3 linked regions of the Sus scrofa genome follow. The protein of the gene in region 1 interacts with the protein of each later gene in a pairwise test. Links are inferred from orthologs where the notes say so. Each region holds a gene or a part of one and is shown in the gene's direction. Other genes may lie near its edges. The genes, in order: BACH2, MAFG and BATF3.

The links.
Region 2: the proteins of BACH2 (region 1) and MAFG interact in binary tests that used the Homo sapiens proteins (3 or more experiments, as listed by UniProt). The link is inferred for Sus scrofa from reciprocal best matches to the Homo sapiens genes BACH2 and MAFG.
Region 3: the proteins of BACH2 (region 1) and BATF3 interact in binary tests that used the Homo sapiens proteins (3 or more experiments, as listed by UniProt). The link is inferred for Sus scrofa from reciprocal best matches to the Homo sapiens genes BACH2 and BATF3.

The regions. Positions count from the first base shown.
Region 1 is NC_010443.5:58,278,752-58,282,495, reverse strand, and holds the start of BACH2 (transcription regulator protein BACH2), read left to right. Parts: upstream 1-1,143; 5' UTR 1,144-1,278; intron 1,279-3,744. UniProt on the Homo sapiens protein: Transcriptional regulator that acts as a repressor or activator. Binds to Maf recognition elements (MARE). Plays an important role in coordinating transcription activation and repression by MAFK.
Region 2 is NC_010454.4:1,067,827-1,071,570, forward strand, and holds the start of MAFG (transcription factor MafG), read left to right. Parts: upstream 1-1,247; 5' UTR 1,248-1,322; intron 1,323-1,666; exon of another isoform or gene 1,667-1,719; intron 1,720-1,769; exon of another isoform or gene 1,770-3,744. UniProt on the Homo sapiens protein: Since they lack a putative transactivation domain, the small Mafs behave as transcriptional repressors when they dimerize among themselves.
Region 3 is NC_010451.4:130,702,042-130,705,685, forward strand, and holds part of BATF3 (basic leucine zipper transcriptional factor ATF-like 3), read left to right. Parts: intron 1-283; coding exon 284-388; intron 389-3,644. UniProt on the Homo sapiens protein: AP-1 family transcription factor that controls the differentiation of CD8(+) thymic conventional dendritic cells in the immune system.

The DNA.
Region 1 (3,744 bases):
TTATTGCAAATGTTCCTTCAGTCTAAGTCCTAATTACTTTCTGTAAAACCCTAACCACCATCGAGCTTTCTTCTGACAGGGCAGCCACACGATGGCCTTAAAGTGCAGCGGCAGCGCCGGGCAGCCTCTGGAATGGGAGACAGGGGGTGGTTGGAACCCTGTAGGGGCTGAGGCTGCAGCTCAGACGTAGGCTTTTCAGTGAGCTTCGCAACTGCTTGCAACCCCTTTTAAAATCCCAGCGTGGGGACTTAGAGGCTCCCTCGGTGGGGCAGGCTGAAGCCCTTCTGGAAAGGATTCCAACGTCAACATCAACGTTGGGTCAGAAGCTACTCTTGCTCGCCCCACCCCCTCCCAAGAGGGGTACCGGTCAGCTTGGTGGAGCCCGTGGAGCATCTTTTTCTGCCCCTCCTGGGAAACGCTAGACAACCCCGGAATCCCAGGTCTCAAGGTCTGGCTCCGCTTCCTGGGCGTAGTGCCCTGGGCTCTGCCCACCTCCCCACGTGCCACACCAGCTCTCCCCACTGCCCCCACCCCAGCGGCCCCCAGCCCTGGCCTTTCAAGGTTCGGGTGAGTCCCGGGCAAGGCCCGACCGAGACAGGCGGCCAGCCGGGCCCGGAGCAGGGGGCTCTCTCGGTGGTTCTGCCGCACAAAGCGGGGAGAGCTGCGCCGGCGGCGTGAGGCGCGCCCCCTCCCGCGAGCAGGCCGAGCGCGCTCCCGCCCCCTGTCCCCCGCCCCAGCCCTGGGAGCGCCATTCGCGGAGTGGCTTACGCTAGTCGCCGGGCGTACGGCGCCCCAGCGGCCGGGGAGGTGCGCTGCCCGGCTCCCGTAAAGTTATTGTGAATGGGGAGCGGGTGACGTCAGCGCCGAATGTCAACAATGTAGCGATTGAGAGTGTGGGCGTTCCGGGGAGAGCGCGAGCCGCGCCGCGCGGAGCAAACAGCGCCGAGCAGCCGCCGCCTAAGCAGCAGCAGCAGCAGCGGCCGTGCACGCCCGGGCTGCGGTCGCAGCAGCGCTAACGCGAGCGCCCGCCGCCGCCCTCGCCCACCCCGCCTGCCCACTCCCGCTGCCGCCGGGCTCTCGCTTTCTCCCCGGCCTCCCTCGACCCTTCCCCTCCCCCTTCTCGGCATACTCGGGGGGCTGGGAACGAGCTGCCATGTGATGCGCGTCCTCTCCGCGAGCTTTCGGTGACCCCCGATCCGCGGACCGCCGGGAGGGGGCTGCGGGCTAGGAGGACGCGGGGAAGAGGAGGCGGAAAAGGACGCAAAGTTCTCTGTTGAGGTGAGTCCCCGGCCGCGGGTCCCGGGCCCCGGCGGCGGCGGGCGGGCGGGGCGGTGGGGCAAGTTGGCGGGGGGAGCGGGCGCGCGGGGCAGGCGGGGAGACATGGGGAAGCGGCGCGGGAAGGGAACCGCGGCCGCCCGGAGCGCAGCCGCCCGCCGAGCGCCCTGCCCGCTTTTATGGCATTTTCTAGGAACGGGAAGGGGGTGGGAGCCGAGCCGGTGGACGCGCAGAGGCGACTGTGCGCTCTCTCGCCTGGCTGTTTACGGCGGGAGAGGAGGCATTGTATTTTGCTCGCGTCGACGGGTATTTTGGAACAGCAGGGGGAGGAGGAGCAGAGGGTAATAAGTCAGGCGTGGGGAGGGCGGGTTGAAGGGAGGCGCGCGTCCGCGCGAGCCGGAGCAGCTGTCAGACCCACGGCCCTGCTCCCGGCCCCGCGAGGCCCGGGCGCCCCGGCCCCCAGCCCGCGATCGCCGTGCCAGGCCGGGCGGCCTCCTCCCTGTCCGCGGCGTCCGCGCCCCGGGCTGCTCCGCTACGCTTTGCGCTCAGCTGTCAGACGTTGCCGGGTAGCTAGGACCACCACGACTAGCCGGGTATCAAAGCCCAAGTTTAAGGTCCCGGGAAGAGGCAGACTGGGGGCTCTTGGCACAGACCTTGGGTTGCTCGCTGGGTGGAATCCCTACTAGCCAACGACCACGGGTTATTGGAATGCGTCCCAGGGAACTCAGGCCGAGGGGCTCATGCCTTCAGAGAGGGAGATCTTGCACCTCTCTCCTTCCAAGATTCTGCACGAAATCAAAGTGCAACGCACACCCTCTTCTCCCTGCCCACACTTCAGTCTTCAGACCCCAGAAGCTCCACCTAGGAGAGGAGTTTATCCAGGGGACACTTCTCCACGTACCCCCACCCCGCCGGCGTGTCCTCCGGGGGTTCGCAGTTCTCCTTCTCATACCCGGTGGGTCATGGGATGCGGGCGGCGCTCCTGGACTACCCCAGCTGCCCGCGAGAGGGGACTCGAGTGAGCATCTCGGCGACCTCGGTCTGGGCGAGGATTTGCAGGAACTTGACCGTGGGAGGAAGCGCGCAGGGCCGGGTGTCTGTGTGTGAAAGGGGCCGCGCACCCCTGATTTCGGGGGTCGTGGGTGCGCTGGGTATCCCCAGCCCACTCTCACGTGTAGGCGAGTTTGATAACTTGCGGGAAGTTCTGGCGCAGCCGCTGTAGGATGGTTTTGTCTGTGGCCGGAGAAGGAGCGCCTCACAGTATGCCTGTCCGGTCACCGCCGTCGCCGCCACCCATGGCCCCTGGGAAACAAGAGGGACCAGGGCGCCCCACCCCCAACTGAGCTGCACACTCAGCGGGTAGCGAGACGCGGCGTTCCTGGGTTTTCACCTTCGCTGTCTAGTGCTGTAGTCTCTCACTCTCTGTGTAAATTTCATCTGTTGAATGTACTTAACTAAAAAGGGTAATTACTTTAGATTAAAAAAAAAAATCCCTTCCTGCCTAGTGGGAACCTTGGCGGAGATGCTGCCTAATGAGATATTTTGCTTTTGTCTGTTTAGAGTAAAATTAGAGATGTTAACTCTGATAACGGTTTTCTCAGATCATTAAAATGTAACATGTAGGAAAGGCATGTCGAGCTGCGAAGGCTCTGGCTGACATGAAAGAAGCTGTGCGGGGAAAGGCTCCTTGGGTAGAGAGGCTATTTTGGTAAGGCAGCGGCATCTTGCCTAAAATGTGACATTGCCCCACCCTGGTGCTCCCGCAGCTCACAGCTCCAGAGTAAACGGCGTTTTTCATTCTTCCAGGTAATAATAAACGTGAGTCAAAGTGACATCTTGTTAGAATTAAGTCTTTAGTCTGTAGGCGAGATTGCTAAATAACAGTGTTGCATTCACACTGCTCCCGTGAAAGGTCTGTCAGCATTTCCATTATAAATTCAATTTGGGGGGGAGTTGATAATTTCACCACAAAACTTTGGGTGGCTGAAATGGCTTTCCCTTCCAGTGTTCTGCTTTAAGCAATGAATCGACTGCCCACTTCCATCCTATTTGCTGTTCCTAAAACTTGAATATTATCCAGATGGGGGGGGGGGCAGAAATAGAAAACATAATCATGGAATAAAATACTTCTGTTCGAACGTACTTTATTTGTGCCAAGTAATACTTTCATTGTGGATTTTGGAAGGCTTTATGTTTGCCATTTGGTAATCATAAATGTGTTAATTCTTCTGGTACCTGTCAGTTCTGCAGGTGGATTGAAATGTCAGTTCATGTTGTATATGCCAGGATTACATGGAAGAACATTCTCCTCATACATGTGTGTGTGAGAGCTCATAGCTAAATTACATGCATGCCTCTTAGCTACTTGTCAGTTCTTTGTATGGTGCATGTGAGGATCTGGGGAAGAGAAGAAGGAGTAAGGTAGAAAGGGACAGGGGGTGGGGTGGAAATCAGGGACCCCCCCCCTTC
Region 2 (3,744 bases), on another chromosome or scaffold:
CAGAGGGAAGCTACTGGAGTCTGGCAGGGAGGGTTTCTGACACCTTGATGCTCCAAGGCTCTAGGGGCCACCTGGGTGGCCTTTGTCGTTCCTTCAGTGGCACTGAATTCCCATAAGGATCCTGCCCTCGTCCCTGGCTCCTCCCTCTTTCAGCTCATCTGATCTCACTGACCTGTCTGGTGGGGGGGGGCGCGACCCTTCCTGACCTCACACCTGAGAAGAGACGTCCAGAATCTGGAAGTAGAATTGGGTCCCTTCAGTTTCCCTTCTTCCTTTCCAGACCTCTTTCTCTGGGGATTTTGAACAGAAGTGAGAAGTCCTTACAGAAAGTGTAGAAACTTTCTGTAAGGGTCCATGGGTCCATGGACGGGGACCTAAGCTCGGGGCAGACGCTGGTGAAACAGAAAGGAAAGGCGCACCCCCTACATCAACTATGAATTCAACAGATGCTTACTGATGCCCACATTCACCGCACCCACTCTGAGCCAGACGGGTTCTAGGAGCCGCCTGAGCCCGGTCCCTCATGTGAGGTCTCGGGATGCTGGGTGAAGACAGACCACACTACTCAGAAGCCTTGGAGGCGGCCTTGAGCTTCGGACAAACCCTTCGCCTCCCTGAGCCTGTGGGTCTCCTGTGAACCAGACAGCTGTTCCTGGCAAGGCTGAGGCCCGCTCCGCAATTACGGAGGCAAGGCATGCAGAGCCTGCCGGGGAGTAACAGAAACACCATGAGGACCTTCTCCATAATGCGTACGGACCTCGGATCCGCAACAGAAAACCGGACACGTGGCCTTTGCAACGTCTGCGCACAAGCCTCAGGAGAGCTTCAGAGGACCACGAGGCCCCGCCTCAAAGGGGGCGTGGCCGGACAGGGAGCGCGCGCCCGGGCCAGTCCCGCGAGACCTCACCCATCGGGCGCGGCGCGCGTTGCCAGGGCGACGGCGCCCGGCGCGCAGGCGCAGTGCCGGCGCGCTCTGCCGCCCGCCGCCGCCGTCGCCGCCGCCGCGCCTTCCCCTTTAAGCCCCAGCCGGTCGCGTCGCCGCTTCATGAATGGAGCCCACGTGACCAAACATCATGTGACGTCTGAGGAGCGGCGGCGGGCGGCGGCGGCGGCGGCGGCGGCCGGCGGCGGCGGCGGCGGCGGCGGATCCCGAGCCCCGAGCCTGGTCCGGCCCGGCCTTCCAAGCGCGCTCGGACCGGCCCGCGCAGGCGGCGAGCCCCTACCCCGGGCCCGGAGCCCCCGCGCGGCCCACTCCCGCGCGGCCTCGGAGTGCCCGCCCCGCCCCGCCCCAGCCTCGGCCCGCCGGGCCCGCAGTGTGGTGGGTGAGTGCGGCGGCGGCCGGGCCGGGGCAGGGCGCGGGGCAGCTGGGGGCTCCGGGCCGAGGGCGGGCTTCCGCGGGGCCTCGGCTCCTTCGGGCGTCCGGGGCGGCGCGGGCCGGACGCTCCGAGCTTCGGCTCTGCCCCGCGCCCTGCTGGCGGCCCGTGCCTCGATTTCCCCACTAGTCAGAAGCGGCTTCCTGCCCTTGCGCCTGGGGTGCTCGGGTGGGCGCGGGGGTGCCCACAGGGGCGGGGCGGGGCTTGCGCGGGCTGGCTTGCTGGGCCGGGGCGTCCTGGAGGGAGGGGCGGCCGGGGTGGCGGGAGGAAAGGGTGGGGTCGATCGGGGAGCCCAGGGCTCCGCGGAAGAGCCTGGCCGTCCCAGCCTGAGCTGCTGATTCATCAGGTGTCTGTGTTAACGCCTCTCGGACGCGGGGGTCCTTGGAGGCCGGGGGGAAGGGGGCGGCACGTGGGGGGTGGCTAGGAAGACCCTCCCCGCGCCGACTTCGCTCTGTCACACTCGTGCCAGAGCCCAGAGGGAGACTTGCTGAGTCATCAGCATGAGGTCACTCGATGCTTGTCCTGATGCCTGGGGGGATTTGAGCGAGGGGCTCGAGAGGCTGGAAGCGAGAGGTGAGAGCTAAACCAGGGAGTGGGAAGGGGCTAGGCCCCAGGCTGGGGTGCCTGCTTAAGTTCGGGCTGATGTGCGTGTTGAAGGTTTGGGGGGTGAGTAAATGGAGGGACCGCTATTCTTATTATTCTGGGGTAGAGGGTGAAGACCCTGGTCCGTCCATCCCCTCCCCGGCAGGCTTTTCTCAGGCTGCTGGTCCCTGACCCGCGTCTGGGACAGTTCCCCAAACTGGGAAATAGTTCTCTGAGTGAGAAGAGGGAGGAGCTTAGGGGGGCTGTGCTTGCGGGCTGGGAAGCCGGCTTTCCTTATGACTGGTCTGGTTGGCCAGGCTGGGCAGCCTCTGGGCGGGGAAGATGGGGAGACAGTGGGAGAAAGAGGGGTGCCTGTACCCGGTTTCTGGGTAACAGTGGACAGGGCAGGGGGCATGTAGGTGCAGCTCTACCAGGAAATTGCCAATGAGAGGAAGCAGCAGGACTTAGACTTCAGGGGAGTTGGTGTCTGGTGAGCAGGCCCTGCCTCTCTTCACAGCCCGCCGTGGGGTCTGGCTCGAGGCTGTGGGTGGCGGTAGCTTGGAGGGCACCCACCTTCAGGGCACTGGACTGGGGTGGACGGCATGGGCTGAAGAATCTCAGTCACCCCGGATTGTTCTGGTTGGGCTCAGGGTTGTGCAGCTTAACAAAGAAGGTGGTCCTGATGGGGTGGTGGTGGGGACTCCTGGGGAGGGAACTCCAGCCTGAGGGTCGTGTGGCCTGAGCCACCTTCCTAAGTGAATGGGTGGTTCCTGGTCTCCAGGGGCGGGGGTGGGAGTGGGGGTCTTTCCTCTAGACCAGAGCTGATCCTTTTGCCCAGGGGTTCAAGGCTAGGTAAGGCTGACCTTGTGCTTTGTCCTCAGGCATTACTTCCGCTCCCCTTCACCCCAGCCCTGGGCATACAGATGCCAGCTGATCTTTTTTTTTTTTTTTTTTTTCCTGGCCACAGCATGCAGTGGCTTGAAGTGGGATCTCAATTCCCAGAAAAGGGATGGAACCCAGGCCGCAGCAGTAAAAGTGCCGAGTGCTAAGCACCAGACCACCAGGGAACTCCCACCAGCTGATCTTTTGGCTGGAGTTTTATGAAAATGCAGATTCCTAGAGTGGTATTTCTTTAAATCTTCTCAGCTACTTGCGTTTGGTGGGAATGAAGTTTGAGACACTTTTCAGAGGGCTTCTGGGGAAATGGGTCCGAAGGGCAGGGTGAGTGTAGCGGGCTGGGGGGGGTGCCAGGATGACCGGGGCCACGCCTGCCGGGGAGGTTTGGCCACTGCGGTTTGTAGGACAGGAGAAGCAGGAGCGAGCTGGCCTCCTGCCCAGTGTCCATGCCCTGGAGTTTGAGCCCAGGGGAGGGGGAGGGGGCCCTCTCTCCTTCCTGGCCGGCTCTCAGCTTGAGTGGCTAGGCCTGGGTACCTTGGTGGGTATGCACTCTGGGGACCACCCCTGCCTCCTCCCCGAAGTGGGCTCAGCCTCTGGGGGAGCAGAGGCAGGAGGAGGGCTGCAGGGAGGCAGCGTCTCCTTGAAACGGCCTCGGGGATCCCCTTCCTCCGGCTTCTAGAGGTGCCCTGAGACCTCGGTCCCAACCCAGGCCCACAGGGTGTCTCGTCCTGGAACTGTGAGGCCCCAGGTAGCGGAGACCAGGCCAGGAGGCCGGAAGGCAGGCCTCGCCGAGACCCCCTCCCCCAGCCGAGCGCGCACACCTTTGATTAGGAGGCGATTGGCTGCACTTGTGCTGAGTTCAGGGCTTCTGCGCCGGGAAATCTGTCGAGGA
Region 3 (3,644 bases), on another chromosome or scaffold:
ACCCCTCTACGAGCTGTGATACCTGGAGCAAGTTCCTCAACCTCTCTGAGTTTCTTATTCCTCATCTTTTAAATGGTGGGCCCACCACACACTTCTCGGGGTGGCGGTGGAGGTTAACAGCCAACACAGCCCGAGCGCGTGGTGAGTGCTTTCAACCAGGGCCGCTCTTATCCCAGGGATGCAGCAGCCAGCCCTGCTGTGGCTGCCCATCAAAGGGTGACCCCCTGTGAGCAAGGCTGGGCGCACATCAAGGGCAGAGATCTGACCAAACCTTTCTCCCCAGAGCCCCGAGGATGATGACAGGAAGGTCCGAAGGAGAGAAAAAAACCGAGTTGCTGCTCAGAGAAGTCGGAAGAAGCAAACCCAGAAGGCTGACAAACTCCACGAGGTGAGAATGTGGTTGGGGCAGAGCCACGTTAGGGCCACGACGACGACGGGGAGTCATCTTCTGCCCTTGCGAGGTGGTGGCCCTGAGGTCACGCTTCGATCCTCTCCAGGTCAGCCACGTGCACTTCAGATTCCGCTGTGTCCCTCCAGCGCAGCGTTGGGATTCGCTCTCTGGTGTCTCCATCTCTCCCCCACCAGCTCGTTGTGTCTCACACTCAAGTTTCCCTTTATCGTAAACCCAGAAACCTCCTTTTGATCCTGATTCCCTTTCAAGCTGGTGCCTCATTTCTTCTCTTTCCTTCCCTCATGGTCCTGCTTCTTGAAAAGAGACCTGCTGTCTTCATGTCCTCTGCTCTCCTGAAACACACACACACATGCACACGTACACACACACACACACACACACACACACACACACACACACACACACACGCTTCCTGCAGAAGCTGCTCCACTGAGGCCACTAGTGCCCTGGGACTGCCTGGTCTCGGGGCCTCTTTCGAGTCTCCTCATCCTTGAACTTGCTGGGACCCCTCATTGACCCTCATCTTAAAATTTTCTTTCAGAGTCTTTAACTTCTAAGAGACCACATTTCCTACCTTCCCAACCCTCTTAACCACTCTCTCAGTTTCTTTATCGGCTTTTCTACCTCTGTGTTCTTAAATGTTGGCGATGGCCAGACTTTCAGACTCTGCCTTTTTCCCCACCATCCTGGAAGATGCAACCTATGGTCTGCCAGCATTAGCTCCTCGCGTGCTCGCTCTCAAGCCGGTGTTGATAATTCCAACAAGACCCTGTCCTGGCCCTGACCCCACAGCTCCAGTGTCTGCCAGGTGCCTTCAAATGGGTTCACTGCGGGCTCCTCGGCCCCAGTGTGGCCATAAGCGTGTGTCTGTGCACTGGGAGGCTTTCTCTTCTCACTGTCTTCAAATTGCAGTTGATGGGGCTCACTCACCGTCTAGCGCATCACCCACATCAGGAGAGGGGACTTCTCCTAAACGCTTCCATGTTGGTCAGCCCCATGCATAATCTCACAGCCAGGACATGGGAACTGTTCCATCTCAGGCGCTGACATCAGAGGCATCCAGGATGCAGGATCTGCCCCAGGGATTCACGGCACTTCCGTGCTCTTGTCTTTGCACAGGGTAGGAGTGAGTAATTAAGGGTTGTAGTTCAGCTCTCTCCTGCCACGCTTTCGCTGGGGATTGTCCAGCAAGGCCAGTGTGCGGTCATTGACAGCGTAAGAGACTCTGAGGCGTTGTGCGGGGGAATGCCAGTTTCTGAAAACCCCTTCATGATACGCAGAGAACAGATTTAGAAAGCACATGCTCCAGGGAGAGGTGACCTGCTGATAGAAATACATGGGGCGGTGGGGGGTAAAGGGGTGGTGGCAGATCTTTCCAGAAAGTCTGGACCCTAGAAAGTGTCTTCAGGCCAGGGTCAGAGAAGGTCTGTCCCAGCCTGGATTAGGTCTGTAAAATTTCCACAGAGGACTTGGGATGCCCTTTGCCTCTTCTCTCCCCTCCCCCTTACTCCTGAAGCAATCCTGGTTCTAGCTTCGTGTTACCACTAATCCCCAGAGGGGACTTGAGGCTCAGTCTGTGCAAGGCCCTGTGTTCAGAGCACCCGTGCCTTCCTCTAAAGGTATTTCCAGTCCAAGTCAGGTGCATTCAGGTCAAAACACACTAGAGGACCCTCAGCTGTAAGTCCTGCGGGATCGTGTGTGTAGAGGTGACTAAATGACTTGGATGAGGTTTTTTGTGGACTCAGGTTGAGTAGATTCATTCAACAAATATTTACTAAGAACCACTACAGGCAAGGCATTGCCACTGAGTCGTGAAGGGAAGGGTAAGGTCTCATCCTTGTCCTTGGGAAGCAGAGGCGTTCCCAAGGGCAGTGTGTTCATTTCCTACAGCTGACAGATTTGATGGCTTGAAACAACACAGATTTATTATCTTATAGTTTTGGATGTCAGGCATATGAAATGGGTCTCACGGGGCAAAAACCAGGCTGTCAGCAGGGCTGCATTCCTTCTGGAGGCTCTGTTTCTTGCCTTTTCTAGCTTTCAGAGGCTTGCATGGTCTTTGGCTTGTGGTTACCTTCCATTTTCCTTTTTTTAAAGAAAATTTAAATTTTTTCATTTTTAAATTTTGTATTAAAGTATGGTTGATTTACAGTGTTGTGCCAGTTCCTGCTGTACAGCATAATGACCTAGTCATATAAATATGTGTGTGTGTGTATATTTACATGTATATACACTCGCGTTCTTTTTCTCATACTATCTTCCGTCATGTTCTATCCCAAGAGACAGATATAGTGCCCTGTGCTGTACAGTAGGATCTCATTGCTTCTCCATTCTAAATGTAATAGTTGGCATCTACCAACTCCAAAGTGCCCATCCATCCCACTCTCTCCCCCTCCCCCTTGGCAACCACAGGTCTGTTCTCTATGTCTGTGAGTCTGTTTCTGTTCTGTAGACAGGTTCATCTGTGCCACAGTTTAGGTTCCACATGTAGGGGATATCATATGGTTTTTGTCTTTCTCTTTCTGAATTATTTCGCTTAGTTTGAGACTCTGGTTGCCTCCATGTTGCCAGATGTCTGTTGACAGATGAGTGGGTTAAGAGGATGTGGTACACAAATACCCAGTGGAATCCTGCCCTTCCATTTTCAAAGCGGGCACCGGCCAGCCGAGTCTTTCTCATGCTGCATTACTCTGACAGTTTCTGTGGCCACGTCTCCTCTGATTCCCGACTCTTTCCCTTATGAAGACCCTCGGATTACCTTGGGTCCATCTGCCTGGTCCAGGTGTACCCCCCTATTTTAAGACCCTTAACGTAAAATCACATCTGCAAAGTCCCCTTTGCCGCGTAAGGTAACATATTCGCAGGTTCCGAAGTGTGAACATCTTTGAGAGGCATTGTCCTGCCTACCTTCAACAAATGCTTGCATACAGGGTCAGAAAAAAGGTGGGTCTCCATTTCTGTCCTTCTTGGATTTGATAGCCAGATGAACCAGATACCTGGGAAATTTAGGGCCGGTTTGCCACATTTGCTTCTGCCTCGTCTCTCTGAGAACAGTGGGTGGAGGGCCTTTCAGAGGGTCCCTAGCTTATTCTGCCATCCAGAAACATAACTGCGTTAGTTGCTCCTTCCAGGAAGGGGGCTGATTGATCTGCAGCCCAGGCCTTGCAGGGAGGAACGTCCACGTCTGCTCTTTCTCTGTGGAGCTGCAAGAATAGCGCACGATGGTGCACTG